Linked DNA regions of Coturnix japonica. The protein of the gene in region 2 purifies or fractionates together with the protein of the main gene of each other region. This does not show direct contact. Links are inferred from orthologs where the notes say so. Each region holds a gene or a part of one and is shown on either strand. Other genes may lie near its edges.

Region 1 (4,218 bases), on a different chromosome or scaffold from region 2:
CAGGTCTTATGTCTGGGGTAAAAATCTGGAGTATGTTTTTTCTTAAAAGAACCATTTTCTAAGAACAACCTAAATGTGAGTTAACTTGCAATTACATCACTGTCTCTTTTGATTTCAGGAAGACCAGCTGAGTTTCCATCACAAAACTAGAAAGTTTGGACTTGAAAACTTCAAGCGTCGTCATTCCACTACATGACTGTTCAGCAGCTAAAATAGATCTAAAAAAACCAAGGTATTTACTCACAAGGAACCAGTTCCAAATGATGATAATCTTCCTTAAACGAGACCTACAGACAATTCTGTTCCTCTTGACACATTTGCACAACGCTCCAAAATACATTTGCCTCGTGGTTCCCCTTAGGCATCCCTGATGGCCCCACAACCCAAAGAAACGCAGCTATCACAGCAGCAGAGGGAATCGCCCAACACCAACGCGCTATCAGTGGATTCCTAGGAATGCCAGGTACTACAAGAATGGGATTCTAATCTTTCTGACACCAAAGCAAACACAGCGTGTTAACCACGATGAGACAAGTTTATAGGCTCCTTTTGAAAGGTGCGGAATCAAATTCAGCACGTAGTTTCTCTATGAGCCAACAACAGCTTCATCAGACAGTGCTGATGAATTTTAAGTGCTGTCAAGTGTTCCTCACATAAGTTCTACCAACCCTTTAATTTAAGTCCTTGTTTGCAAAAGGGCACTTTAACACATTTCACTGCTACCCTAAAGGTCGGCAAATTCTCTACAAGTCACTGAATGAGGCAAGAAAACCTATGGAGCTATTTGTTCTGTTCTGATGGCCGGACATCAACAGTATTAGGACGATAATACCAATATTGGACAACCATCCCAGTAAACAATTCTGAATAACCAACTACACTGAAAAAAAAAAAAGAGATCATATGATTTTCCTACATCGAAGTTACGCTGAGAAACTCTGAGTCATGCACTCTCTTAGTAACCAATTATGTTTCAAAAGATAATACTTGCTGTTCTCTTCAGCCAATAGTGAACTCTTCCATTCAACACTTCAGAATTGTATGACTACCTGTGGCCCACAGACCTTTCTGAAGACCTCAGAACAATAAGCAGGTGGAAAATATTTACCTGTGTGAGGTGGTGTAGGGAGCCTGCTTTGGCAGGGGGGTTGGACTTGATGATCTCTTGAGGTCCCTTCCAACCCCTACAATTCTGTGATTCTGTGAAAGCACCAGCTGCTCTTTAAATAGGTAGGTGTTGCTGTAGCGTATTACAGTAATAATACAGTATTAGAGAGCACTTGCCATGGTGTCCCACTGCAGTTCCATTACACTTCAGACTTCAGGTTCGCTCAATCTGCTCAACATTTTCCTACCATGTGCATGAGCATGAAACCAAACTTCGTGCCTAATAAACGTGTTTTGTAAACACATGACAGCACCGATCACTGTCTGACAATAGCTTCATCCTGACAATTTCTACGTCTAGTACTCGCTGTATTCACTGTCACCAACACCGTTTCAAACCACACAAAAACACGGTTTGCTTCCAGCTTGAAGACAACACAAGATGCAGGAGCTTCAACCTGCTCCTGCAAGAGTGCAGCGCATTGAAACCCAGGTGCAGATATTCTAACATAATACATAAGCTCCCACTGTGGTTTTGGTTGTACCTTTGGATGTGCAATTTCAAAACTGCAGCTATTAGGAAGTTAAGATGCGTGACACGACAGAATTCTTCCTTTTTTTCTGTTTTAAGTGATTTGATGGCTCTCCAAAACAGGTAAAGCTTGTGAAAAGCCCCTTTGATGAAGCAGACTTCAGTCTTATTGCCAGGACCAGACAAAAGTATCTGGGGGAAATAGTGTTTGTCTTTGATATGAACATCAACCTGCTCTGCTTGTTCAGCTCTCTAAATTGACAGGGCAGGATGCTCGATTGCCCCTTAAACAATGAAAAACGAGCCTAATAAAAACCAAACACCAACACTTACGGGATTATGCAAGTACGAGTGTTGACACCAGCTACAAAAGATGTAAGCTAAGCATATGAGCAACATCTCATTCTAGCACGTTTGCTTTGCCGTTGCGTTTGGCTCTTTTTAACACACACCTTTCCAGAATCACTCTGCAGGAGCCACAGCTGGGATAGCTGTGGGAATGGAGTGATTGGTGAGGAGGGGATAACACCCCATACACCAATAGCGCCGACCGCAGCCCCTTCCGACAGCGGCGCACCCGACAAACGTGACATGCCCGAAAACACCTCAGCCCGGGGACCTCCCTCCCGCCCCTACCTGCAGCGTTCAGCGCCGGCGGAGCTGACAGCAGAGCCGCCCGTGTAGGCACTCATGGCAGGGGGCGGCCGGAGCCGCTGTGCGGGCAGACCGGGCGCGGTGCCCGCCGGGGGCCGGGCCGCGGCGCTGCCGGGGCCGCGGACACGCCGGAGCCGCCGCGGGATCGCAAGATGGCGGCGGCCGAGCCCGCTCCCCGCCTCGGCGGCACCCCCCCACCCCGGCGCCGGCGGCCTCCTCGAGGGACCCGAGCGGGCAGGGCCCGGCCCCGCGGAACGGGGTGAGGCTCCTCGCGACGGCCGAGGGAAGCGGGACACCCCCCGCCCCGGCCGCCCGGCGCCCCGCTGCCCCTCACCTTTGAATTTAAGGTCGGTGGGCGGATCGAGCACCAGAATCTGCTCGTGCTTCGCCAGAGCCCCGGCGGCCGCCATCTCGCTCGTTCGCTACGGCGGGAGGAGGAGAGGGGGAGGGTGGGAGGAGGAGGGGGAGGAGGAGGAGAAGGAGGAGGAGGAAGAGAACGAGGGGCGGGACGGGGAGCCCGGGCGGCGGTAGCGCTTTTCCCTACGCCTTGCGGCGGGTGCAGCCGCTCTTTAGCCCGGCGCTGCTCGCTGCTCACCGCTCGCTCCCCACGTCGCACCGGCGGCCCCCGGCAACGCCGCCACTCCGCGGGCACGAGGGCGGAGGCGGCAGTGACCGGGCCTGCTGTGCGCATGCGCCCTCCCGCTTTGCTCGCTCGCTCCCCCACCGCCGGTCGCCGGCCCTGACGGGAGCCCTGCGACGGAGCCGAGCGGGAAGGAGCGGATCCACGCTCCGGGAACGGGCTGTGGGAGCGCTGCGCATCACACAGTATCACAGTGTTGTGCGGGTTGGAAGGGACCTGAGAGATCATTGAGTCCAACCCCCGGGATTCGAGCCCTGTGTAGCAGAGCGGCACTTCTACCACTTGCGCCACAGGGGGGATTCGAACCCAGGGCCTCCAGTGTTGCAACGCGGCATTGCTACCACTGCGCCACCGGGGCACACGCATGCGCCGCTGGGGGTTGTAGTGTTTCTCGGTGCCTGGTGGGCTCTGTAGTCCAGGTTGGGGTGGTGTGTGGTGATGTGGCGTCGTGCTCTGCCTGGCGTCTCAGTGTGGTGTCATTGAAGCTGCCGGAGAGAGGGTAAGAGTGGGTGAAAAGTGAAAGGCCTGGGTGAGTTCATGCAAGATCGGAGTGTGGGTGATGGAATTTCTTCTCTCGTGGACTCACCAAAGATTACTCCACAGTGTTTCTCTGAAGCAATAATTCAGCCCCGGAATTATGTGGTAGTTATATACCTGAAGAATTTCTGAGTTTTTTTTCTCAAAGAATTTCGTGGTGTAGGGAACCTGCTTTGGCAGGGGGGTTGGACTCCATGATCTCTAGAGGTCCCTTCCAACCCCTACAATTCTGTGATTCTGTGAGATACGAGGAGCTGCTGCAAAACTCTAAATACCTCCAGAGGTTCTCTCCTTTCTCTTTTTAAATAGGCTGTCTTGACTCTGTTGCAGTCAGTAGCAAAACCTCTCACCAATTGCAGTGAGATGTCATTCACAGAATCACAGAATGACCCGGGTTGGAAGGGACCTCAAGGATCATGTAGTTCCAACCCCCCTGCCTGGCAGGGCCACCAAACATACACATTTACTAGATCAGGTTGCCCAGGGCCCCGTCCAACCTGGCCTTGAACACCTCCAAGGACGGGGCATCCACAACCTCCCTGGGCAGCCTGTTCCAGGGCCTAACCACTCTCCTAGTATGTCATTCCGGAGGTGTCTCTAGTATCTGTATCACTGCTTGCAGGCAGCTAACATTTGCTTAACGTGAGTTTAACATTTGTCCTGTGTGCTTGTAGATCTTCATGTTTATTCACATTGTGAATTCAGCATCATTGTTGTTATAGTATCTCAGTTTGGAGACTGCCTGACA
Region 2 (4,237 bases):
ATCCTAGCTACAAGAAAAGCCAGGTCAAGCCAGACACAACACAGAACTTCTGCCCCAGTGTGGCTAGTGAGCTGGAGAAACTGAAGACTCACCCTCTTCTTCAGCACAGAAAAGGTGGCTCCACAGCCTGTACAGCTCCCTAGAAGAGAAAGATAAGAGGTCAGGCAGGGTTCTGATACTTGGGACCCTAAGGCACAAGAGCACCCACATTTGTTGTACAGACCCTCCCAACCCTGCTGTCCCCAGGAGAGCTACAAATACCCTTTCCATTGGGGGAAAGAGTCACTAAGGTGCCAGGACAAAGTAACACGTCACTTTGTCCTCTCACAGTTCAGTGGTCACCAACAGCAGCACAGACCCCACAGTGCTGAGGTTCCCCAGACAACACTTGCTCTCGGCCTTACCAAAATTGTTGCTGGGGTAGCGTTTGCGCAGGCGCTCAGTCAGACGTGACACCTTGCTGCGGATCACATCGTTTTTGCTCATAAAACCGTTGTCTGGGAGGCTGAGGTCAAAATCTGCTGAACACTGAGAGCCCTCATCATCCTCCTATAAGGAGCAAAGCTGAATAAGCAAAAAGCAGTGAGGGGCCATAGGGCAGCCTGCCCCAGAGACAAGCATGAAAACAGGATGCTTCACCTGTCAGCATCACAAGCTACTGCCAAACCAGGTAAAGGCTACCAGCTCCAGCTGGGAAGAGATGCCCCCTCGCACACCTCAGCACAGCAGTACTCACCATGACCAGCAGCTGGTTCTCCTTCTCCCGCAGCATGGGACAAAGAGAGGCAGTAGAGATGGAGTGAGACTGCAGAGGTGCCCAGCCCCACTCCTGCCCTCCCCAGGCATCCACTTTGCCCTGTCACAGCAGTCCTCCGCCCCAATTGCCTGACCTGCAGGCACAGCCCACCCCCACCATGATCAAACCTCAATAGCATCCTTGAACTCTTCATCAGGCTCTGCCTCCTCTGCCTCCTCCACGCTGCCAGGGGTAAGATCCTGCAAGAGAATCAGAGCTAGTCCTATCCTATTTCACCCGCCTTTGAAGTAAAGACCACACTGTCAAGGCAGCTCTAGAATGAAGCACCAGCTCACTGGCAGACCCATAAAGTGAGCATCAAAAGGTAGGGAGAGCCCCTGCCTCTCCAGGGTAACTCCACACACATAGCAAGATAGAGTGAAGAACCCAGCAGAGCAAGGCATCCCCTCAGCAGTTCAATATGGAATCCCGAGCCAGGTACACAGGCTTCCAGCAAAACTATTTTGTGTGCAGATGGACAGAAGCAAAACCAGTTGCAAGAGCTGAAGCTGCAGCTCCCACCCCAAGTCTCTGAGCCCTGCCACCCCTCACCTCTGTGCTGGTGGGTGTGGGAGTCCGGTCTGGTGGGGCATCAGTTGGTAGGGGCTTGGCAGGCTCTGGAGGGCTCTCAAGAGGTTTGGTGCCCAAACTCTGCTCAACAGAGGCCTTGAGCTCCTTTATCACTGATAAGAGGAGAACACAGATGGATCAAGGTTGCACTCCCCTTCCTCCAGCCACACAGGCTACCTCCAGGAAGAGCCCTTACCTTGGTAGAACTGGCTGTTGCCCAGGAAGAGGGTGCTGTTGAGGATGGCCATGACCCAGCAGAGTGGCAGCAGGTAAAGGATGCAGACAGAGCCCAGCAGCGCTCCGTAAAACCTGGGAAAGAGCAGCAGGTCAAGAGAAATCAGAAATCCCACAGTCCCTCTCCTTGTCCTTTGTCTGCTCTCCGCAAGCACCAAACACAAGAGCAGCTCTACTGGCCTGGTCTCTCTCCCTGCTAAGCCCAACGCAGGGCACCCAATGCAGCCCTACTCACTGGGAAGAGACAGAAGGGTTCTCCCAGTACAGCACTCGATACGCCGCCTCACAGCTGTAACACAGCCCGCTCAGGAACCCCTCCAGCTGGATCAGGCTGAAACGAGACCACTGAGTCAAGAAACGGCCCCACGAACACACAGCCTGTCCTGCTCCGCTCACACAGCACGACCTAGGGAAGGTGATGCCCCAGGACAGGAGGGTGCTGGACACTCACAAGCACTTGACCTGGGTCAGAGCCTCCTGGCGTGACAGCTGCACTTTGCGCAGGTCCTCGCGGCGCACGCTGTGGTACTTCCTGCGCAGCAGCTCCCGCTCCGAGGGCCGGACACGGCAGGTCTCCTGCAGGTAACACAGCAGCGCCGGCAGCACCACCAGCAGCGCCAGCACCGAGTACCAGGCGGCTGCGGGACACAGCACAGCATCAGCCGGCAGGAAGGTGGGATGGGACACAGCACTGCCCGCATACAGTGCACACATGGACACAATGCACACACATACACACACACAGGTACACACATACACACACATGGACACAATGCACACACACATACACACACATGGACACAATGCACACACATACACACACATACACACACAATACACACATGTACACACATACACACACACCTTGGTCCAGGGTGAGCAGGAGGAAGTTCAGGCCGATGCAGACGATCATGGAGCACAGCGGCCGCTGCCACCTGTGGGACAGCACACAATGAGCTGCCAATGAGCTGCGGGCCCAGCCCCGGTCCCGGCCCCGTCCCGCACCTACCGGAGGAGGCAGCGCACGCCCTCGGCCGCATCCCGCAGCGGCTCCAGGTACATCTGCAGCCGGCGGTAGCTCCGCACGAGGTCCAGCAGGTCGAAGGCGGCGGCCTTGGGTGTCGATAGCGGCTCTGCCGACCCCTCCCCGCCCCCCGGTGCTGCCGGTGCCGCCCCGTCCCCGCCCGCAGCCGGCCCGTCCCGCTCCGCCGCCTGCATCCCGCACCGCACCGCACTTCCGGGAAGCGGCCAGGTGCGCCGTGACGTCACCCGGCGGCGCGGCACGCAGCCAATCAGAAGAGCCGAGGTGGGAGGTGGGGACGGAAGCTCCGCCCAAGCGATGGTTAAAGGGCGGAAGTGGCGGCGGGGCGGCAGTGGGTGTGTTACCATGGGAGGGCGCGGGGTGCGCCGGGCCTCACCATGAGCTGGGCCTCACTCGGCCTCACTCGGCCCCGGCCCAGCTCGCAGGGCTGTAAGAGGCCGGGAGCCGCAGAGCAGCCTGTGCTCCTGCTCCCACCCCACGATGAGCGCGGCCCATCCCACGGAGCAGCGCCCCGTGTCACCGCACACAGGCGTGTCTGGGCCTGGAAGCACACGGTGTTCCCGGCCCTTGTATCTGTGAGCTGTAGGATATGGAGCTGAAGGGCGGGCTGCTCCGTGTGCATGGAACCTCGTGGCACTGAGATGCACGGTGCAGCTGGTACAGCAGAAGGGAGAAGGAACAGTATCCAGAGGATAATATACTTCCAGGCAACCAGTCTGTGGCAGAGTGGAACTGGGTGGGCTTTAAGGTCCCTTCCAACATAATCGCTCTGTAATGATACACAAACACCAGGTTCTGCTCCATCCCTCCCATGGTGTGAGAGGGCTGGGGCAGCCCATCCTCAGGGCAGGGGTTTGAGCCCCTCTTCCAGAGCTCAGCACCCACAGCCCCAGAGCACAGTGGGCCCCTGCAATCACTGCTCCAGGAGGGGTGACCCCGAGGCTGCAGAGCTGAGTGTAAGTGATCATCTCTTGATCCCTGCAGGTCCCAGTCCTGCTACAAAACCCCAGACACCAAGTGAGCATCAGTGTTGCTTTATTTGGAATGTGAATCCAAAGGCACCAGAGAAGGGACTGCAGTGGGACAGCGGCAGGTACAACAGGCAGCGTGGGGTTGTGGGGTAAGGCACTTATGGCAGCGCTAGCCTCCCTGTGTGTGGGCAGCCTGGGCCTTGGGGCTGCACCAGAGCACACGGGAGCCAGCAGTGTCTGGGACCAGCCCTGACACAGGGTGGGGATAGCACATCCTGCCAGGGGTTGGCCCAGGGGCTGGCAGAGTGTGGGAGCACACAGGTATCTGCTGACACAGCCCTCGGTGATGGAAGCTGTGATCTAGTGCCAACCTGGCCCCTCCGTGCCATCGCTGCTGCTAGCCCCACAAAAAGGCACCAGGTGACTGCTGCGGGGGCCACAGCTCTCCAAACTGAGCCTAACACAGGGGCTGGGGCAGTCCTTTTCTGCCCTGAAAGCAATGGCAGAATGTGTCCTCAAGCAGGGTGAGGACAGCTGGTAACCAAAGCAGCTCCAGCATGGTGCTCCTCCAACACTTCCCAGTCTCTGGCTGCCCAGTGCTTCTGCTGATCTCGCACAGCCCCG

The links. Proteins that work in one complex are often made in the same cells at the same time.
Region 1: the proteins of ZFYVE27 (region 2) and VAPA purify together in Homo sapiens (co-immunoprecipitation; 3 studies listed by BioGRID and IntAct, counting the BioPlex papers as one, with this or other methods). This does not show direct contact. The link is inferred for Coturnix japonica from reciprocal best matches to the Homo sapiens genes ZFYVE27 and VAPA.

Annotation. Positions count from the first base shown.
Region 1 is NC_029517.1:88,648,723-88,652,940, forward strand, and holds the start of VAPA (vesicle-associated membrane protein-associated protein A), read right to left. Parts: upstream 2,836-4,218; 5' UTR 2,704-2,835; coding exon 2,628-2,703; intron 1-2,627. UniProt on the Homo sapiens protein: Endoplasmic reticulum (ER)-anchored protein that mediates the formation of contact sites between the ER and endosomes via interaction with FFAT motif-containing proteins such as STARD3 or WDR44.
Region 2 is NC_029521.1:19,457,384-19,461,620, forward strand, and holds the start of ZFYVE27 (protrudin), read right to left. Parts: upstream 2,847-4,237; 5' UTR 2,819-2,846; coding exon 2,610-2,818; intron 2,536-2,609; coding exon 2,465-2,535; intron 2,239-2,464; coding exon 2,052-2,238; intron 1,932-2,051; coding exon 1,836-1,931; intron 1,676-1,835; coding exon 1,563-1,675; intron 1,480-1,562; coding exon 1,349-1,479; intron 997-1,348; coding exon 925-996; intron 758-924; coding exon 737-757; intron 550-736; coding exon 405-549; intron 140-404; coding exon 93-139; intron 1-92. UniProt on the Homo sapiens protein: Key regulator of RAB11-dependent vesicular trafficking during neurite extension through polarized membrane transport. Promotes axonal elongation and contributes to the establishment of neuronal cell polarity.